Linked DNA regions of Danio rerio. The protein of the gene in region 1 purifies or fractionates together with the protein of each later gene. This does not show direct contact. Links are inferred from orthologs where the notes say so. Each region holds a gene or a part of one and is shown on either strand. Other genes may lie near its edges. The genes, in order: nck1b, pdgfrb and abl1.

Region 1 (3,656 bases):
AGGAGGAAGACCAAAATCCTGAGCATAATCTGATGAGTGCTGGAATGATGTTTGTGATTGGCTGGTTTTGAAACTGGACCAGTGCCCATGTTTACTAAGAGAGGACTCATTGCTCGAGCAGACGGGAGCTGATAGCTACTGTGTACCCCTGTCAGTGTGAACGCACAAGCCTCGCCGCACTGTAACATGTGTTTGGACAAGTTCTCCTTTTACTCATGCCCTGCCTGTTGGTGCCTGTATCAAAATACAATGCTCTTTGGTTTCACAGATCATTTCGACAAGAATGGAATGAGTGCAGGGTGCGGAGTGATGAAATTACTCCCTGAAGAGACTGTCTCAACATAGTTTTCATTGAAAAATGACTTTAGTTAAACGTGTTGCTATTAAGTGAAATTTGCAATCAGTGAGTTTCATCTACTGAGTTGGAAGTAGTTCATTATATAAGAAAAACAGGGCCACAGTGGCTTCTCCTACTGCAGAAAACTCTGATATTTAACGCCAGTGTATCAGGAAGTGACCAATTTTTTCTCTTTGTCTCCCTGGATGGAAATGGTGCTTATTTGCAAATGATTATTGAGATTGTCCAAAGCGATTGGATTGCTAGCGTCATAATGAGCTTTTGGTTGCTATAAAAGGAACTCTTGTAGTCAACTATTAGAGGCAATAGTAAAATTTACAATGAAGCAGGTAAACATTACACTGTCTTGTACCTTGTTTTAGGGCTGCTCGATTTTGGGAAAAATCATAATCACGATTATTCAAAACGGTTATCAGTTGAAGTCAAAATTATTCACACTCCTGTGAATTTATTTTTATATATAAATTAAAATTACAGTATTTCCTATAATATTTTTTCTTCTCAAGAAAGGCTTATTTGTTTTATTTCAGCTAGAAAAAATCAGGTTTAAATTTTGGAAACCTATTTTAATAGCTCTATTTTTAACCTCCTTAAGCAATTCATATTTTTAATTGTCTGCAGAGGAAACTCCTGTTATATATTGACTTGCCTATTTACCCTAATTAAGCCTTTGAATGTCACTTTAGGCTGAATACTAGTATCTTCAGATTATCTAGTCTAATATCATGTACTGTCATCATAGCAAAGATATAAGAAATTAGTTATTAGAAATGAGTTATTAAATCTGTTATGTTTAAACTGTGCTTTAAGCATCTTCACAGTAAGAAAAACACTTTAGCTACAAAAGTCCTTCAGTCAAGAGCAGTGAGGGATTTTGTCCTTTTGTTTTTTATTGATAATAAAAACAGAAGGCAGTAGGTAGCGATTACTTATGGTAGCTGGATATGATGGAATAATTGTTCATCTTGATTAATGGTTTTTCATAATCGTTAGAAGGCAAAATCAAAATCAGATTTTTGATTAATTGCACAGCCCTACCTTGTTTTGCCCACTTTCGACAAGTAGTACCTGGAGTTTTCTTCACAGAGGTGTACCCTTTATGCCAATTCCAGAATGAAGCAACAAATTTACTAAAAAGATTATGATTTGATGGCAAATAAAACAAACTTGAACAGCAACTGCCACATTGGAAATGCACCATGTTCATTTCCACAACGTTAACATCTGACCTATTTAGACGCATTGAAAACATCTTAGGCTGAAACCCCAAGAAGTAGAGTGCAAAGAAAGGACTAAATAGTGAAATACTTAATTGTACCTCTTTTTATGTTTGCAGGGATTGGAAAGGTGAAAAGGAAAACAGGCATGCGTGAAACAGCGTCCAATGCAGACTCTGATTTCTACCCAGACAACGGTGAACGTCTGTATGACCTTAACCTCCCTGCGCTGGTCAAGTTCAGCTATGCGGCCGAGCGGGAAGATGAGTTATCGTTGGTTAAAGGAACGAGGGTTATCGTGATGGAGAAGTGCAGTGATGGCTGGTGGAGGGGAAGCTACAACGGCCGTTCGGGATGGTTCCCTTCCAACTACGTGACAGAGGACGCAGATGGATCAGCGAGCAATGATTCTGCTGGACTTTCAGACAAACTGTCTGCTGTTGTTCAAAGTGCGAATGGCAACCGTGTGCTGCACACAGTACAAGCACTCTACCCGTTCAGCTCGGGTAACGATGAAGAGCTGAACTTTGAGAAGGGGGAGGTTATGGATGTAGTGGAGAAGCCAGAAAATGACCCAGAGTGGTGGAAGTGTCGTAAGTCAGATGGGCAGATGGGACTTGTTCCGAAGAACTACGTGACTGTTCTGCAGGAGTCGCACAACTCGGCCAGCATGCCGGGGCCACCCACACCTGACTGTGACTACATTGAGCCTTCATCCAGCGGCCGCTTCGCAGGAAAGCAGTGGTACTACGGGAAGGTGACACGCCACCAAGCAGAGGTGGCGCTTAACCAGAGGGGCTCAGAGGGAGACTTCCTCATCCGGGACAGCGAGTCCTCGGTAAGTAGACAGAAGTTTTATACTTCTATTCTCACGTCATTCAATTGTTAGTCAGTTCTACCTTGTGCCTGGAATGAGAGGGTGCTTCTCAATCAGATCTCTTGTTCAGTAGTCAGGGCAATGATCTAGGAGTTTATTCCCAGAAGAGCCCATATTTAAGACTCTTTATTGCAAAATTCTTCTGTTTAGAAAGCACCACGATTTTCATGGTGCCTCTTGCGAAGTTCTGATGTTGTTTATAAATTCCAGTGTTGATGTTGTACAACGAGGATGGTTTTCATGGCACGTTCAGTTTCCCAATGTGAACTGAACCAAGCTTCTTATTTTTTCTTACCAGTGCCAAATTTGTGTCCACAACCTACTAATCCACTAAACCAGAGATGCCCAAACTAGGGCTCACGAGCCAAAGTTGGCCCTTGTAACCTTTGATTTGGCCCACCATCCCATCAGAAAAAGGAGTGTGAATGATGGGCAGGGTTGGGGCGAATGATTTTTACAGAGATTGTCATTTCTAGTTTAAAGTAATCTTTTGTGAATGTTTGTTTTAATGCTGAGCTACAAAAAAGCCAACTAAAATTAAATGTTTAATTATAAAAACATAAATAAATACTTTGTAAAAATGTAATTACTATCATGCGACAAATAGAGGACAATGCAGAGGACATCTGCGAGCAAATCAAGGCAAAATCAGGTGCAGCCTGACTAGTGTATCTCCATTCTGTTATAAATGAGACTGTTTTACTGTAGTAAGTTCATTATAAAACAGAAAATAAATGTATACTGCATTAGTTAGTACAAAGCAATGTGTTTTAGTTATTTTTAAATACTATTTATTAAATTGGGAAGTAATTATGGCAGCTATATTTACCTATGACCCACTAGCCTCAATCTAGTTTGGTAACTCGATAAGAAATGTTTGGGCACCCCTGCACTAAACCTACTAAATGACCTACTAAACCTCAGGAGTTAGGGAGTTGATTGAGTTGCACCCACAATTTTAACAATTATTTAAACGCTTTGTTTGGCTGTTCATGTACACGAGATTTTTGGAGAGCCCTAAAAATGCTAACTTAGAAAAAAAGCCTTAACAAACTAACCAACATTGAAAACAATTGGCAGGGCATGCATAATACAGCACTTTTAGTCAGATCCGTGTAAACTAGAAAAAAAGGTTTGATCTTGTTTTTCACGTTAAAAGTGTGACACTTTGTCATCTGTATTTTTTCCATTTTTAGCATATAGC
Region 2 (3,656 bases), on another chromosome or scaffold:
ATATTCACTTAAATAGCCTTATTCTGAGCATATAGAGAAATATTTAAGTAACCTATTAATTACTGATAGATAAATCAAAAAGGATCTGTCATGCAATGCAATAATTTCTTTCTTTCCCTCCTTTATATTAATGAAATTATGATTATACAAGTGCAATCTGTGAGAACAGCACCATGGCAATGGGAGAAAACTGAAGGGATGATGTTGACTTTAAATCGAGGCAGTGTGGCTCATATACTGGACTGTAGGCTCATATATAAAGTCAATAGGAAGCCCGCAGCTTTGGCAGGTGTTTGTGTTTCAGGGGTTTTCTCACGGCTGAACCAGTATCGGGTTCTCAATGAGCTCAACGGGTTTCACGCCGCATTCAGGGCGCTAATGAAAGCAGCACTAGAGGATCATGGGATTCAAACCAAAGTCACTCTGTGTTTGATCTCCACGGGTGCCGCTCCATTCAGTAGGTCCTCATTTCACACATTCACACAAAGAGGCTTTAACACCCTCCTGTCTCACACACACACACACACACACACACACACACACACACACACACACACACACACACACACACACACACACTCCGTAGACATAATGATTTCATACTGCACACATTATATATTCTGTCTTCTTTCCCCAGCCCTACCCTTAAACCCTCATAGGACACACACACATGCGCAGACAGTACTTACTGCTGTTGACCAGTCTGATGTCCCGGGCTCGGGCTCCTCTCTCATTGCTGGCCTCACAGCGGATGGTGAGCAACTGCGGCCGGACCAGCGTCACCTGACTAAGCACCTGGTGGATCTTGCGTGTGCTGTTGTAGGTGACATTAGTCTGGATGGTGACGCTCTCTGGATCCTCCACTAGAGGGCTCCATACAGCACTTCTGTTACTGCACCTAGTGAAAAAAAACAGTGCACTCTATGAATATTATGAAAAATGATGTACAGTTTAAGTAAGAATTATTAGCCCCCCTTTGAGTTTTTTTTCTTTTTTTTTAAATATATTTTTCAAATGATGTTTAGCAGAGCAATGAAATTTTCACAGTATTTCTGATAATATTTCTTCTTCTGGAGAAAGTCTTATTTGTTTTATTTTAGCTAGAATATAGCAGTTTTAAATTTTTTTAATAACATTTTAAGGACAAAATTATTAGCCACTTTAAGCTATATTTTTTCTCGACTTGCTACAGAACAAATCACTGTTATACAATAACTTGCCTAAATGCACTAACCTGCCTAGGTAACCTAATTAACCTAGTTAAGCATTTAAATGTCACTTTAAGCTGTATAGAAGTGTCTTGAAAAATATCAAGTCAAATATTATTTACTGTTATCATGACAAAGAGAAAATAAATCAGTTATTAGTGTAAAGCCGCCAGTCCTACGCTACCCAACTCGCTCTGAGCTGGTATCGAGCCGGCGACCTTCCGCATGGGAGTCGGTTGCTCTACCAAGGAGGCTAAAGACCATGGCCTCTAGCATCTGTCGCTAGAGCACCTTTAGAGGCCAGAAGAGGGAGGTTTACCTGCACAGTACACACTAGCTGGCCTCCGTTACACTCTCCCCCATAAACCTCACTCCCATCCGGGTCACAGCACCAATGTAACCCCGCCAGTCCTACGCCACCCAACACGTTCTGAGCAAGTATCGAGCCGGCGACCTTCTGCATGGGAGTGGGTTGCTCTACCAAGGAGGCTAAAGACCATGGCCTCTATCATATGTCGCTAGAGCACCTTTAGAGGTCAGAAGAGGGAGGTTTACCTGCACAGCACACACTAGCTGGCATTAGAAATGAGTTAGGGGCAAGGTAGTGGCGCAGTAGGTAGTGCTGACGCCTTACAGCAAGAAGGTGGGGTCGCTGGTTCAATTCTCGGCTCAGCTGGCATTTCTGTTTGGAGTTTGCATGTTCTCCCTGCGTTCGCGTGGGTTTCCTCCGCGTGCTCTGGTTTCCCCCACTGTCCAAAGACATGCGGTACAGGTGAATTGGGTAGGCTAAATTGTCTGTAGTGTATGAGAGTGTGTGTGGATGTTTCCAAGAGATGGATTGTGGCTGGAAGCGCATCCGCTGTGTAAAAACTTGCTGGATAAGTTGCCGGTTCATTCCGCTGTGGCGACCCCGGATTAATAAAGGGACTAAGTCGACAAGAAAATGAATGAATGAATGAAATGAGTTATTAAAACTATTATGTTTAGAAATGTGCTGAAAAACATCTGCTCTGCGTTAAACAGAAACTATGTTATGACGCGTTTATCGGTCATCACAATCTTCTAAAAAAATGTACATTTATATGTATTTACGTACGCATTATATTATCTTTGCGTCAAATTACAAAAAACAAATTACCTGATGTGAGAGGTGTTTCTAATGCAATGTCTATGGGGCTGAGAGTAAATTCCAGAAATGTGAAAAGGGTCCATTGCTTCATATAATGCACAGAGTCCACATAGTGTGTGTACTGTACACATAGAGCAAACATAGTACGCTAATATGCCATTAGAACCCATCATTAAAAGACATCAAAAGTCAAATTTGCACTTTTGTTGCAAACCAGAACAAACCCACAGGATAATACACTATACTGAGCTGCTAATATCCAGCAGAGCGCTCATAAGTGCCTCCACCCATGAACAAGTGTGCAGTGACAGGCGGAGGTGTGTGCTAATAGCTGCTTTAGCATATGTGCTGTATTTATTATTCATTCAGCAGTTTGTGTGTGTGTGTGTGTGTGTGTGTGTGTGTGTGCAGCTCTTGGGTGTTTTAATCAGCTCAGCCACAGCGCTTAGATGATGTACAGTCCTCACTCTGCACAGGCTGATGGACACACATCCTGATCAATTACGCTGATGTGTGTGTGTGTGTGTGTGTGTGTTTATATAGTGCTTTCTGAGAGCATGTGCAAACTCATCAGCTTTACATTTACTCGTCTCGCAAACAGCTCACATTAAATATGAATGAGAGACATTAACGGTGGAATATTGTGATAATCTAGTTCACTATCCAGTTTCCATCATTTATCATTTATTAATCCATCCATCCATCCATCCATCTATATATCATTCATCCATTTATCAATCCATCCATCTATATATCCTTCATCCATCCATCAATCTATATATCATCCAATAATACATCCATCCATGCATCCATCCATCCATCTATCTATCTATCTATCTATCTACCTGTCTGTCTGTCTGTCTATCCTCCATCCATCCATCCATCCATCATCCATCATCCATCCATCCATCCATCCATCCATTCATATATCATTCTTTAATACATCCATCCATCCATCCATCCATCAATCCATCCATCCATTCATCTATATATCATTCATTTATACATCCATCCATGAATCCATCTACACATAATTTATTAATCCATCCATCCATGCATCTATCCATCCATCCATCCATCCATCCATCCATCCATTCATCAATCCACCCATCTATATATCATCCATTAATACATCCATCCATGCATGTAACAATCCATCCATCCATCCATCCATCCATCCATCCATCTATCTACCTGTCTGTCTGTCTGTCTGTCTATCCTCCATCCATCCATCCATCATCCATCCATCCATCCATCCATCCATTCATATATCATTCTTTAATACATCCATCAATCCATCCATCCATCAATCTATATAT
Region 3 (3,656 bases), on another chromosome or scaffold:
GCACGATGTCGCTGATCTCCTTGACGGAGCACAGCAGCTTTGAGAAGTCCTGCGGAGTGTTTGCGGTGCCGGTGGCCGCGGGGCAGATCTGCAGCTCGCGCAGGCTGCTCTCCAGCTTATTGATGGCTTCGCGGAAAGCAAACTTGTTCCGCATCTGCTGGATGGACTCCACGTAGCTGACGCAGTACTTGGACAGATTTTTCCCCGCCTCCAGGACAGCGCTGTGGCTGCCGGTCTGCTCGGAGACACGTGCAATGGCGGTACGCAGGAGCTCAGAGCTCTCCAACAGCATGTCTCGAGTGATGGTGGAGCTGGAGAGTCGCTCTGATGGCTGCCGTGCTGGAGCCTTCCTCAGTGAACGTCGCGTCGTCATCAGTGGGATGAAGCTGGATCCCGGATCCCCGACCACAGGACTGGCTCCCATTCCAGGTAGAGGAGCAGTCGCACCTGCCTTCGAGGGGTTTACCTTTGAGCCATTTTTGGGCAACTTTTTAGCACTTTCTTGGGATAGACTAGCCTTGCCTTGATCTGCGGAGTCTAGTGAACTCTTGACTTTGGTATCTGAAGACACCTCAAAAGTCGGACTCCTTGAGGTCTTTCCAGATTTGGCACTGGACACCGGAGGAGGAGGGGGAGCGGGTTTGGGTTTCGCAAACTTCCCCTTCTCCCGCTCTCTCTGTCCTGGGATTTCAGAGGACAGTTTGAGTCTTCGAGGTCTGCCTTCGTCTCCAAGAGGTGGAAGCACATTGGGTTTTAATACCTCTGTTTGTAAGGCACTAGTTTTGGAGCTTTCTGTTTGGGGTCGGCGGCCTAGCTTGGGAGTCAGAGTTAAAGGACTTGATCCAGGACTAGACTCAGAGTCCTTGAAGACTTCGTCTGAAACATCTTCACTTTTCTTGGGAAGGCGTGGTGGTGGGGTAAGCGTGCCACCTCGTGGCATGCAGCTCTTACGAGGTAAAGCTGGCTTGCCTCTGAATGTGTTAGAATCAAAGTGTGTTGACTGAATGTCCCGCGGCAGGGTTACGGACTTCCATTCGAAGCGATCAGAGCCTGGAGGCATGCTGGAGGAAGAAGAAGATCGTAGGAAGCGTTTGGAGTTTGACATGGAGTCCTCCTCTGGAGGTGGAGTCGTGGCAAGCTTCCCTCCACCACCCGATGTAGTGCCCTTTTTCCGTGGATGAGATGGGAAGAGCTGACCGGGATACACTGGAGCTCCGTTGGTGACCCCGATGGTCGTGGTACTGTTTGACCCAACTAATTTGCAAGGGTCAATGCTGTTTAAGGCATCATTGGTGGAAGACCCGTTGCTGAAATCCTCCCTGCAGTCAGTACCCAATCCTCTACGGTCTAGGTGTCCGTCCATCTTCCCAAAGGAGCTGCTGCGCTTTGGGGGCGCCGGAGCCGTCCTCTTCTTTTTCTTAATATAACTGAAGGGATTCATTCGAAATTTATCCTTATTATCTTTAGACTGGAGCCGATCATCTTCATTCAGGTTGCTATCTAGGAGTGGCCTCGGCATCATCGGGGGTCCAGTGACCTCGGCCTCGGCTGCGTCTGGAGAAAGTTTAGTTCATCAGTACAACTGCTCGATAATAACGAAAATAAGCAGAGGTCTGAGAGAGAAGAGCTTACCGGGACTGTCCCCATCCCTGCCGTCTGTAGGTCTTCGTAGTGTCCTGGTTTTAGTTGGAAGTTCTGGCGCCTGCTGTATTGGTCCCAGGGTCAGCTTCTTTCCTTTTTTCCCCAACTCTTTCTCCACCTCTGCAATGCAACAAGAATGAGGATGAGCCACCAGAGAGGTACAGATTTACAGTAAACTGAATGCATTATTAATGTAAAATAGTGCAGAATGCATAGATAGGGAACATCTGAATCCGTTACTAATTGTAATTTAGAGTTGACAGTAAGACAGTAACCTCAAATCAGACTCCACATGGCCATAAATACACACACATGGTGTTATTATTCAAAACAGTTTGATTAAAGATTTTGAAAGCTCATACCATCAGAGATACTGGACTCTTGAAACATGGTCTCGAACGCCTGATGGGTCTCAGCAAAAGAAGGGCGCTCGGCAGGGTTCCACCTCCAACCTAAAGACAGAAACACTACAGTCATACAGGTTTACTCACTGGGCTCCATTTTAACGATATAAATGCACTTGGAGCAAGTCTGAATCCACTTTTACAATTTTAAGGATGGGAAAACTGGTCTAAAAGGGATGTCCTTACGTCGTTAAAGAGTCATGGGTGTGCTTTGAGTGTAATATGCATTAAACCAAGCAGATTCAATTACCTTTAGAAGCAAGCTTCAATTGCACCAAAGCAGATTTGCCATATAAACAGGGCACAGGACGTTAAAATGAAACCTGCGCTGAGCTGATAAAAGCTAAACAACACTTGCATTGCACAGTGTGCATGATAGGGTGTCACTTTGTCTACTCTTTCTTTCAGAGATTGTGTAGAAGGATCTGCTTACAGGCCCTCATGAGCTCATAGACTTTCTCTGGGCATCCCTCGGGTCTGTCCATGCGGTAGTCTTTCTCCAGCAGCTCATACACCTGAGACAGGTCGATTCCTGGATACGGAGACATCCCATAGGTGGCGATCTCCCAAAGCAGGACTCCAAATGCTGAAGGAGGTCAAATCAGAGGATCAGTTTCTCACACATGCATGTCTGAATGTGGAAAGATGGCTCAGTGGACATGGCGAAAACACTTTAATTAATTATTTTATATTATATACAAATATAATTTTGAAAAGGTAATACCTTCTCCATCAATAATATGCATAGCAATTTATTAATTGTTTATGCATTAAAACAGCATTCAAATATATCCCAACAATGCCTGAAGCCACAAAAACGAGAGGCTCCATTAACTACATTTGCAGTACAGTTTATAAATAACTTGAAAAAAGTAAGACAACTAAATAAAATGAGTTAAATGTTGAGACAAAAGAAGGTAAATGAGAGAAAACACAATGAAAACATAAAACTACTGTAAACATCATTTGTAACAGTGGAAGTGTGTTCTTTTGTCTGTCCATGCGTACCCCACACGTCTGACTTGATGGAGAACTTGTTATAGGCCAGACTCTCCGGCGCAGTCCATTTAATGGGGAACTTTGCTCCAGCGTGGGCTGTGTATGTGTCTCCCGTCATCAGCCGGCTTAGCCCAAAATCTGCCACTTTAACCAGGTTGTTTTCCCCGACCAAGCAGTTACGGGCTGCCAGATCCCTGAAAGATAAACCAGACCGTCAATTCACTCTAATTGTAGTGAAGTCCCACTATAGTCAAGATTTTAGCTGGATGAGGCGGCCAAATATGGATCAGATTTTGGTTAGAAGATCAAGAGTGGAAAAAAGATTCTCGATGATGAGCAACATGGGAAAATCAACAAGCCGGAATCAACAACAAAGCCAGATTACCATTAGATAATTGACACTGGGAAAAGACTAATGTTTGGAGACAAGTCCTGTGCTCTGATGGAGTAAGATTGAACTGTTTGGCCATAACGAGCAATATGAGGACAAAGGGGAAAGCTTACAAGCCTAGCAACACCATCCCAACTGTGCAGTATGGGGGCGGCAGCATCATGTTGTGGGGCTGTTTTGCTGCAGGAGGGACTGGTCCACTTCACAGCATAGATGGCATC

What was found.
Region 2: the proteins of nck1b (region 1) and pdgfrb purify together in Homo sapiens (affinity purification with western blotting; 3 studies listed by BioGRID and IntAct, with this or other methods). This does not show direct contact. The link is inferred for Danio rerio from reciprocal best matches to the Homo sapiens genes NCK1 and PDGFRB.
Region 3: the proteins of nck1b (region 1) and abl1 purify together in Homo sapiens (affinity purification with western blotting; 3 studies listed by BioGRID). This does not show direct contact. The link is inferred for Danio rerio from reciprocal best matches to the Homo sapiens genes NCK1 and ABL1.

What each region holds. Positions count from the first base shown.
Region 1 is NC_133199.1:3,531,846-3,535,501, reverse strand, and holds part of nck1b (SH2/SH3 adapter protein Nck1), read left to right. Parts: intron 1-1,694; coding exon 1,695-2,413; intron 2,414-3,656. UniProt on the Homo sapiens protein: Adapter protein which associates with tyrosine-phosphorylated growth factor receptors, such as KDR and PDGFRB, or their cellular substrates. Maintains low levels of EIF2S1 phosphorylation by promoting its dephosphorylation by PP1.
Region 2 is NC_133189.1:3,708,986-3,712,641, forward strand, and holds part of pdgfrb (platelet-derived growth factor receptor beta), read right to left. Parts: intron 899-3,656; coding exon 690-898; intron 1-689. UniProt on the Homo sapiens protein: Tyrosine-protein kinase that acts as a cell-surface receptor for homodimeric PDGFB and PDGFD and for heterodimers formed by PDGFA and PDGFB, and plays an essential role in the regulation of embryonic development, cell proliferation, survival, differentiation, chemotaxis and migration.
Region 3 is NC_133180.1:78,533,839-78,537,494, reverse strand, and holds part of abl1 (tyrosine-protein kinase ABL1), read right to left. Parts: intron 3,239-3,656; coding exon 3,054-3,238; intron 2,632-3,053; coding exon 2,479-2,631; intron 2,094-2,478; coding exon 2,004-2,093; intron 1,762-2,003; coding exon 1,633-1,761; intron 1,555-1,632; coding exon 1-1,554. UniProt on the Homo sapiens protein: Non-receptor tyrosine-protein kinase that plays a role in many key processes linked to cell growth and survival such as cytoskeleton remodeling in response to extracellular stimuli, cell motility and adhesion, receptor endocytosis, autophagy, DNA damage response and apoptosis.